Linked DNA regions of Drosophila melanogaster. The protein of the gene in region 2 interacts with the protein of the main gene of each other region in a pairwise test. Each region holds a gene or a part of one and is shown on either strand. Other genes may lie near its edges.

Region 1 (5,080 bases), on a different chromosome or scaffold from region 2:
TGTGCTTGTGTGCGTGCAAGCGACGCCTGCCGCTTCCTCTTCTTCGACTTGCAAAACAACAACGAGCGAAATTGAGCGTGAAAACAGAGGAAACGCGAGGATAGATATTGTATAAAAACATGCGTATTTAACAGCGGCTGACCTTGTTTTCATTTGCGCCTAACAAGCTACGGAAAGTGAAAGACTTTGATTGGAATTCTCATAAGAATGTGAAACAGGTTTCGCTCTCATAACGGTATCTGCATACACATACACACACACACACACAGATGAGCCGTAATAGCCAGGCAAAAACAAGAAAAAGCCGGAAAAAGAAAGTAAAAAGGCAGAAAATGTTTAGTTTATATTTCTAGAGCGAGAAAGAGAGAGAGAGAGATATGGGGACGTAGAGAGCGACTGTTAAGTAATACATTTGCAGAGAAAGCGCGCGCAAAAGACACAAGAAAAAAAAACACATTTGCATGTATTGTGTGCTACTTATTGATGGCGTTATTTTCTGGTGTTTTTCGCACAATTGCCGCAGTTTCTGAACGCTGCTTTTGACATTGGAAGAGTTCAAGCGGCTTTTTTTTTACGAATTCGATTTAAACTCATTTTCGATCTGCGAAGGTCAACAGCAAAACAAAATGAAGCCGACTGCACGCACACCAAGGCAATATTTACACAGATACATTCACCACAGTTGTATGTTGCTTGTGTTGCTCCTTAAATATGTTACATATTTAACATATATGATATGTTGTGACAATCAAATAGTACTTGCAATCTTTACCTTGGTTGAGCCGCTCGATTTTACAACTGTTATTTATCACACTTTATTTTCAGTTTAAAATGCACTTTTTCGCTTCCTTTTCACTTTTGATTGCTACTGACATCAACTTGACGTTCTGCTAGTGACTGTATGTTAGCTCCTAACAGCTTCGGCAATTTATCGATTAGTGCTGTTAACGCTACAGCTACCTAACAGAATTAAAGAAATATATTAAATTTAACAAAAATACTGAATACAGCTAGCTGGTCATACTCCTGTTTTACATTTTATTTAATTTACGAATACGTTTAATTTAAATTTTGTTGATATATAATTTAATAAATTTTTTGGTCTCAAAACGTCTTAGCTAACCCCACACAAAACCACTTCGAGATTATTCTGAGGTTCTACGAAAAAAAACTTGTTATATATACAGAGATATATGTATTTTAAAACCAAATAAAAATGAACCTGTATATAATAATACCATAAGATAGCTACTTACTCTACGAGCTGTGAGCCTTGAGTGCCGGTGCTCATATAACTTTCTTAAGCTTGCTTGATATAATTTTCATATTGCATATCTAAAAAAAAATAAAAAAATAATTATAAAATTTTTGTAAAAAGTTCAGTAAAAACAGTTTAATTCACTTATTACCTGGTATTTCCTTCTCTGCAAATATAAACGAATTTTAGATATTTTCAAATTTGTTTGAGTTGGTGTGTTCTGTTTATTATGAAAACATGGATACATTTTTAACAAGTGCTCAAAATATTATTTTATTTACTAAATATATCAATATATAAAATAAATTGTATTTTCTATTAGAAGACTAGTAATAAAAATGACAAAGTTATAATAATACCATTGGAAATAATTACCAAATTGCAATTTTTGAAATTGCAAAGTGTGACTGCACGAATACTTGTTGAATATCAACTGCATGAATTAAATTTCGCTTTCCGAATCAACGAAACATCAAATTTGGTCAAACATGAGCAAAACATGTCATATAATATTAACAATATATTCTTTAAGAAATTTAACAATTTTAAATAAATTATGAGTGACCCTGTGTTGTGTAAAATATGTGGTATTTATTCAGTATTTTTGGGTTTTTTTTTCTGTTTTTCGGCAGCACTGCGCGGCGGTCACGCCTTTGTATTGTATTTATATTCATTCGTTAAGCGACGGTCGTCCAAAAAGGCAGAAAATGTGGAAATTCATTGATGAACAGTGGTGAAAAGTGCGTGCAGTCATTCGCTTCAATTTGTCGTGGCCGATTCCTTTTCGCAACCAATTTTTCTTATTTTTTTTCTTGTCAGTAACAAGTTGTCGGTCAATAAAAGTGTCAGTTTATTTTCTGCATAATAACGGTTACTAAAGCCTAAATTTTTTGTTTGTGACTTCTTTTTTTTTAAACAAATGCGCCGACGCGCCAGAAGTTTATATTCTGTTTTTATGTTTTCCGCTTAAAACGAAACGTGACTAGTTTGTTTTAAATTGGTGTGCAACGAAAACAAGAAGAAGCGGATGAAGAGGGTGGAGAGGAGAGGAAGCAGAAGAAAAAGAGCAACAGTCAAGTGAATTAGTTTTTTTTTCGTCCATGCCGTCGCTGCCAACGTCGACGCCGTTGCGCCGCCGCATTTAGTCATTGCATCAGTGTGTCCGAGTGTGTGTGTGGCAGAGAGAGCGAGTGGGAGAGCAAGGGTGGAGTAAAAGTAAATGCGTGCAATTAGCATTTAATGCAATCACCATTAACCGCCTACTATTGTAATTTATATTACCCTAGTACCTGTAATTTACACATACACCTACACACACACCTGCTCAGCTAGTGGTAGTGCAAATATGAAGTGCAAAAAGCGGCGGCAACAACAATTGTCTGTTAATTGCTGGATATTTCGTAATGCAGCAACAATAACAACGGTAGCAAACTGTAATGCCACAGTGAAGACTCGCTAATCGAAACTTTGTCGGGCATATTAACCAAATTCGTTATATGTTTGCATTGAATTTACATTTCATATATTAACTTCTAAATCTCGTTAGATTTACATGCTCGCGTGTTCAATAGCAGGGAGGGCCCACTGTACTTGTAGTGAAGCGCCGTTACAGCCACAAATGCGTGTGAGTGTGATTATGTATGCATGTGTGTCTGCATCAAATCACACACTTGCAGCGCTCATGCACACGCACTTGTACTTGTGCGTGGCTCACATTTCCATAGCCAGCCGCTTCCCCCTCCACGATCAGTGTTGCTCTTCACCTGCAGCTTTCGCTTCTGCTTCTTCTTCTCCCGCACGCATGTGCCGTTACAAATTCGCTTGGACATAAATCATTTTTCGTGCATTAGCCGGCGATTGTTAATGGAAATCGTATTAGAAAACAACAATTACAATGGGCCCACATCTGCCGCTCTCGCTCTCGATCGCGCTCATCATTGCTCTCCCGTTTCCCGTTACAGAGAGTGCAATACAAGTGCAATATTAATTAAGTAATAGAGGAAACGTAATATGCGTGTGCAATACAAACAAATGACCATGTAACGGCCAACAGAAATGTATATGCAATACAAACGTACATACATGTGTAAAACAATAAGCGCAAAACACCGCCCATCCCCGCTTGAAAAGTAAAACCAGCAATCTGCGAAACCTTCGACCATCATTGGGTTTTACTGTACTTGAAAATGGACTGTGCCACGCGAAAACAACAACAATTACGGGCACATCATCAGCAGCAACAAATACAAATACAAACACATGGACGAAAGCGGCAGCAATTACAAAAACAACGCCACAACCACCACCACTACTACCAAAATTCACAACAACAACAAAAACATTTCGTGTGGCTTGTTGTTGGCATTTTGACAATTTTTTTGGCTCAGGTGAGTGAGAAAAAAAAATGAAGGAAAAGAAACAACAACAAAACATAGTGATAAAGATAAAGCGACAGGTAAACCCGCAAAGTTAGTTACCTCTATGATTTGGGGGAAATTCGTTGGGAAAATTCTGAGGACTCCTAATGGATGGCGCAGGGTTGTCAAAAATATTCATATTTTAACTAATTACAATGCAGATTTCATAGATTGGCCAGCAACACAGACAATTTGCTAATTATTTTGAAATGTTTTTTTCTGTTTTTATTGATTCTTTTTTTTTCGAAAATTACAAGCCAACTATTTTCCACATTTAGTGGCAGAAAATGTCTTAACTGGGTTTTTGATTCGCTGAGTGCGTTTTAGGAACTCGTTTGGCCGGTTCTAGTTGTGATTTTGGCTGGGTGTTATGTTATTTTAATATGAACTCGCTCAACCGCTCACTAAAATTGAACTAAAATTACGATAAATCCAGATTTCATATAAAATCGAATAGTGAGATACAAATATTTAATGTGTTCAATATTTCAAACCAGGTTTACTTGTTATCTGATCAAACTTCGGTAGTCAAACTATTGATTGCATAGCTCGAAATCTTTAAAGGCAATTTAGAAGCGCAAATTAGAAGTTTAGGCCCAAGTCAATTTGAAATGACACACACAGGTGATGAATCCGGTGATTAAATTTGATTTTGTTGGGTGATTTGTGGGCTTATTCCCGTGATTATTCCTTGTTTTATTGCCTGAGTTTTTTTTTTTACCTCGTTCACAAAACTCGTTTCATTTCGTTTCGTTTTGCATTGTTGTCGCATTGTTTCAGCGCAAACGAAAGACAATAAAAACAAAATCCCAACCATCGCAACGCAACAAGTAAAAAGTTAAAAAAAAAAAAAAAATGATGAAAACACTAAAAAGCGAACGCAAGTTAAAATCAAGGTTGGTTCTGATGACGCTGTCCATCGCAACTTCCTCACTCTGAAAAAATTTCAATACGCTTATCGAGCGATTCCCCGAGATAGCCCAGCATAGTCGTAAACTGTTTCTAAGCTTGAAATAATAAAAAATAAAAAAAACTATAGAAATCAAAGCCTTAATAAATAGATGGCAAAACTTGTATCTTTGCTGCTGCAGTTTGTGTATTCTTTGTATCTCAGATGATCACAACAACAATAAAGTTGTCCCTGATTTCGCAGTTTCTTTGGCCACAATAACTTGAATGCACTGCCGTCTTAGTTTTGTTTTTTTTTTTTCTTTCCACATGCTTCATATTCATAACTCACGTGTTTCTGGCACTGTGACTTTGGCTTTCATTTTATCTGGGCATTGCCGCGATTGCGGATCGCAGGTCATTACGTGCCGGCTTATCGCCCGAACTTGGAACTTGGCCGAAAGTATTCGTATTACTAAGCGTCCCAAACATACAAATGCGAAAATGTTTATAAAAA
Region 2 (4,840 bases):
AAATTACCTCGTGAATGAAATCACTTCACCACACCTAGTTCATATATCTCTCTCACTTAATTTACTTAATGTTCAAACAGCAGATTATATTTTCCAAGTGTATGTGTGTTGGCCCGACATTTTGGGGCGCTGTCTGGACCAATTGATATAGATATATGGCGGCTGATACGGTATATATATTCATTTGGCCAACCTCAAGCACTTGAAGCGTGTGCCAGGGAAATGCACTCCAGTCCACTCCACTCCGTTTCCACCCGCGTCTCGGAATTAACATTTTCTTTCACTGGCGGAAAAACTTTCGCGCAGCTTGGGGTTTCCTGAATTTAATTTATCTGTATTTCCTTGGCGAACCAGAAGGCAAAGTCCCCGGCCAATGGTGCGTCTTTGTGCGCAACCAGGCAAAAGGCCACGAAAAGTGTCCTGAAAATGTGAAAATGCGAAATGAGCAGGGCGTGTGTACAGGAGACACCCAGACACACCTGAGTTGGGGGGAAAATGAAAAGAAAGTATAGCCATGAAATCGTATTAAAATCTAACTGTAGATTAAATTTATTGAAGCTTTAACAGTAACCTCCGCCAGTTAGCATTTAATAGAATATATGAAAACTTTTTATGCCAAAATCACGCCGAAAATCTTTGATTTACTTGAAAATATCAAACGAAATATAACACTTGGTCGAATGTGAATCGGCCACTGATCACTGCACTGATCACTGATCACACGGCAACAGAACCGCCTAAATCAGCTAAATGGATTACTTCATCTCCGGACAGGCCATTTGGTAGACGAACTGAACAAGGGTTCGGGTGGGTCGTCCGGTCATACGCTTCTTAGTTAGATAGGGCACTAGACCGTACTTGGACAGGAGTCCAGTGCCACGGGTGTCGAGATGTGCCCAGTCCACGCAGGGCACTAGTTCGTGAAGGATGGCCGCCGCCAGGCAGGAGCTGGCCAATCCACGTCCATTGTTGCTCAGATCATAGGCGCGCTCATCGGTGACCTGGCGCCTGTAGTATTGCCAGAGTGGCAGACGCCACACACGGTCACCGGAAATGGAGCCAGCTCGCTGGAACTGCTTCCAGATGTAGTGTGAGTTGGACCAGATGCCAGTGGCGCCACCACCGAAGGCCTTCTTCACTCCCGTGTTAAGGGTGGCAATATCCACCACCAACCTGGGCAGATACGTCTTCTGTCCGTAGAGCAGGGGATCCGATAGCACAACCACACCAGCCTTGTCCAGATCACGTATGGCCATCGACTTGCCATTGAGCAGGGTGACCACATCGCCAGGTTTCGCCGACATTCCTGAGGGCATGTTTTCGCACAACGGAATGATGCACGTCACATTGATGGGCAGCGACAGGGCGGCGATGCAGCGCATCATGGCCACACAGCAGGCGGCGGCGGACATGCTGCCCCGATACTCATCCATGCCTCTGCAAGGGCGCAGGTTGAGGGCACCAGAGTTGAAGGTGATGCCCTTGCCCACGAACAGAATGGGCTTGTCATCGGGCGCGGTGCCGCAGTAGCTCAGCTCCAGGAGCACTGGCGGCTCACAGCTGCCCTTGGCGATCATCAGAAAGGCATTTAGGCGCTGGGCCTCGATCCAGTCCATGGTGCGAACCTCCACGGTAATGCCGCAGGGACACAGAGCGTCCACGGCGGCCTGGGCAAACATGGTAGGCGTCATGCAGTTGGCGGGGGCATCGCTTAAGCGTCTTGCCAAATTCTGGGCCTCCGCCTTGAAGATGCCACGAGTCCAGCCCTCGTGATCCGGCGACTCGAATAGCTCCAGGGTCGGCACCATCGGCATGTTCTTCTTGGACAGATTGTCCGGGAAACGCCAGACGGCCAGTTGGGAGCCCTCGGCCGCCTGCTCTGCGTAGTCCATGCCGTCCACCAAGACGTTGGTGATACCCTGCTGCTGCAGGGATCTGGCACCTACGCCGGCGGCCACACGTACGAACTCCATACCCTCGTCCAGCATTTCCAGTTCATTGAAGCCGATGCCCTCCAGGCCCACGCCCACCACGGCAACGGCTGCGAATTCGGTATCGATGTTGTGGAACACCTTGCCGCGACCCAGTCGTCCGTCCAACTTCGTTTCACAGATCGCCTTCATCAGCTTGCCTTGGACGCGCTGGTCAATCTTGTGGCCGGCGGGAGTCAGCTTGGGATCCTTGTCGCCTTCCTTCTGATAGAGGCCGACGACCACGCCCTTCGCCATCGTCTTGCCATCGCCGCAGGAGAATCTCACGCCAGCACTGGACAGGACATGCGGTTTGCACAGGACACACGCATTTTTCAACGAGCAGTGAATCTGACGTAGCTTGTTCATCCTGATTGGCGGTTAGTTCTGCTTGGTTATATTCGGATACTTTGAAAATCGGATATGGGCTTTCAAAAAATCCCCTTCGAACGCAAGTAATACTACAAAAATTTTGGGTGATTAAAACTAGTCCGTCTGTTTCCACACTCAAAATTTGGTCGAAAAATCCGAAACGAAAAAAGATAAGAGAAAGTTTTAACTATATTGGAGAGAAAAAAAAAAACGAAAAATTTTTCTGGGGACTTTTTTAAAAACGATCTGTTCTCTACCGGCGTACTAATAAAATGAAACTGAACATATTGGTGTTCGAGCACTTGGGAAACCAACTGACAGTTGAGCTTCAAGGAGTACGTGATTCGAAAATATTTGAACAATCTGTGTAAAGCAGTATTCATAGACGTGAAAGAAAGTTCTGGCCGCTTTATAATATAATCAAAAGTAGCTAATATTGGATTTATAAAAAGATTGGTTTCTTAACTTTAAGTGCACACAAATAGCTTTCATATTTATGTAAATTAAGTTGCAATGCAATGGCAAACAACTTTCGAGTAAGCAAAATACTCGTACAAAAGCCATCGAAAAGCTTTTCGTCTGAGTACAGTGTTAACGTGCAGTATACAAAATGCAATTGCCACAAAAGAGGCCAAAAGGAGCAATTTCCAGTCAACTTGCATTGCCATTCCTTAACTCCAGTCTGTCGCTCCATTCTGCCAATCTACTTAAAATTGTTTTCGAGCTGAATTTTATTTTGCTGCAAGCAGCACTTTTATTAGACTCTCAATCGCCGAGAGTTCGCTGGGTGGGCGGGAAAAGCTGATTACATTTTATTTATTGGCGTCAACGAATTGCAATGGCGGGGATATCTGCTGGCTCCACTCGGATCTCGGATTTGGGGATCTCGACTTTGGCGTTAATGCGCATTAGGTCGGGTGCAGCAGCTACCCGAAAACAAGGACTCCAAACTGGCCAGCAAAACTGGGAACTGGTGTTGAAACACACACACATTGTTTTACTGCCGTTTAGCATGATTTTTAATAGGCTTTCGCCTTGTCCCTGTCCGAGTTGTTGGACTTGTCGTCATCGTACTAAGCCCCATTGCCCGCCGGTCGGTTGGTTGGTTGCTCGGTTGGTCTGGTTGTTAAACCCCCCAAAAACGCCGCCTGATGGTCGTGATGGTCATGATGGCCATGATGATGGGCCAGCAGCAAGGGAAAGCCCAGACATTGTCCTGCTCCTGCTCCTACTACTGGTCTGTCCATACTGTCCGTTCGTCTCTGACAGGCAAACGACACTTGTTAGGCTCAGGTTTTGGGTGGAGGTTAGGCCGCTTTCGGCCAGATGGAGTGGCCAAAATGTGGAGCAGGAGCAGCACGAGGATGAGGTAGGTGATGAGTCCCGTCATGGGACTTGTTTGACGGCATCTGCCGCTCCTTCTAACGTGTGCGAACATGGTCAGATTTTTCGGGCATTTGTCATTTTATTGTGGTCGAAATGGTCGGTAATGGTCGTCACTCATTCTCAGTCAAGCGCTGTACAGGGAGATCTCTATAAGACGAACTGTTCCAAGAGTGCTTATGTTTTTACATCGTTCAAAAACTGGAATTCCTATTGATTGAATGGTTTTATTGGTAACATAATTGTTTTAGCTTTTCTTTATAAGTCATTCGATTTGTTTGTTACATTAGACATTTAATTAAACATAAATTTATGTTTTTTTAAATCTAGTAAAAAAGATTTTACTATCGCTGCATTTTATCCAAGCTCCATTGTATTATCCTTGCGTTTGTTTGTGCGCTTGCTTGCCATCTGCAGGTGCAATATTTTCTGGTTCCCACTCACATATTTTAATTTCATTTTTATTTCAACCCTTTTGCTGCTGCTGTTGCCTGTTTTCCTTGGCCTTCTTCTTTTTACTACCCAATGTGCGGGGGCACAACATATTTTTGCAAGTGTTGAAAAGAGGTTGCCAGGGATTTAAGTTTTATTTAATGGAGCCCCTCGACATATGTTTCGGGATTATAAGTTTGGTTCGGTTTGCTTCTGTTCAGGCTTGCGAATCACTCGACAAAAGGGTTCTTACATTACCCCCAAAAGGTTGAATCCCCCGAAAAATCCCCTTGGCATGTGTTGCTAATGTGCTCCGAGTGCCTTTGTCCTGCAATTGATGGGTTTCCAGTGTGTGTGTGTACGAAAGTGTTTCTTTTAAAGAAACTTGCAAGGGCAGAGAGCCAGCCGAACGTTAAACAAGGCATCCGAAATTGGTGTCGATTTCCCTGGGCCTGCAGCTTCAGCACATCTGACCCGATGGTTGACTTTAAATTAGCTTCACTTCATTCGCCACCCATGATAAACCACAGCCACCCGACTGCAACTACAACCACAAGGACAGCTAATATTCCAGCCCTCTAGGAGGGCAAAAAAAAAACTACATGTAGCCAGGCTCCATCCTATTCCTATTCCTATTCCAATGATGTTTGCAACGTATTGACAGTCACATTCGCATAAAAATC

Evidence for each region.
Region 1: the proteins of S-Lap7 (region 2) and Ptp4E interact in a two-hybrid assay, tested with the Drosophila melanogaster proteins (one large-scale study listed by BioGRID).

Annotation. Positions count from the first base shown.
Region 1 is NC_004354.4:4,937,203-4,942,282, forward strand, and holds the start of Ptp4E (protein tyrosine phosphatase 4E), read left to right. Parts: upstream 1-1,925; 5' UTR 1,926-1,998; exon of another isoform or gene 1,999-2,102; intron 2,103-2,234; exon of another isoform or gene 2,235-2,330; intron 2,331-2,378; exon of another isoform or gene 2,379-2,473; intron 2,474-3,219; 5' UTR 3,220-3,444; coding exon 3,445-3,645; intron 3,646-5,080.
Region 2 is NT_033778.4:13,777,604-13,782,443, forward strand, and holds S-Lap7 (Sperm-Leucylaminopeptidase 7), read right to left. Parts: upstream 2,643-4,840; 5' UTR 2,340-2,642; coding exon 756-2,339; 3' UTR 521-755; downstream 1-520.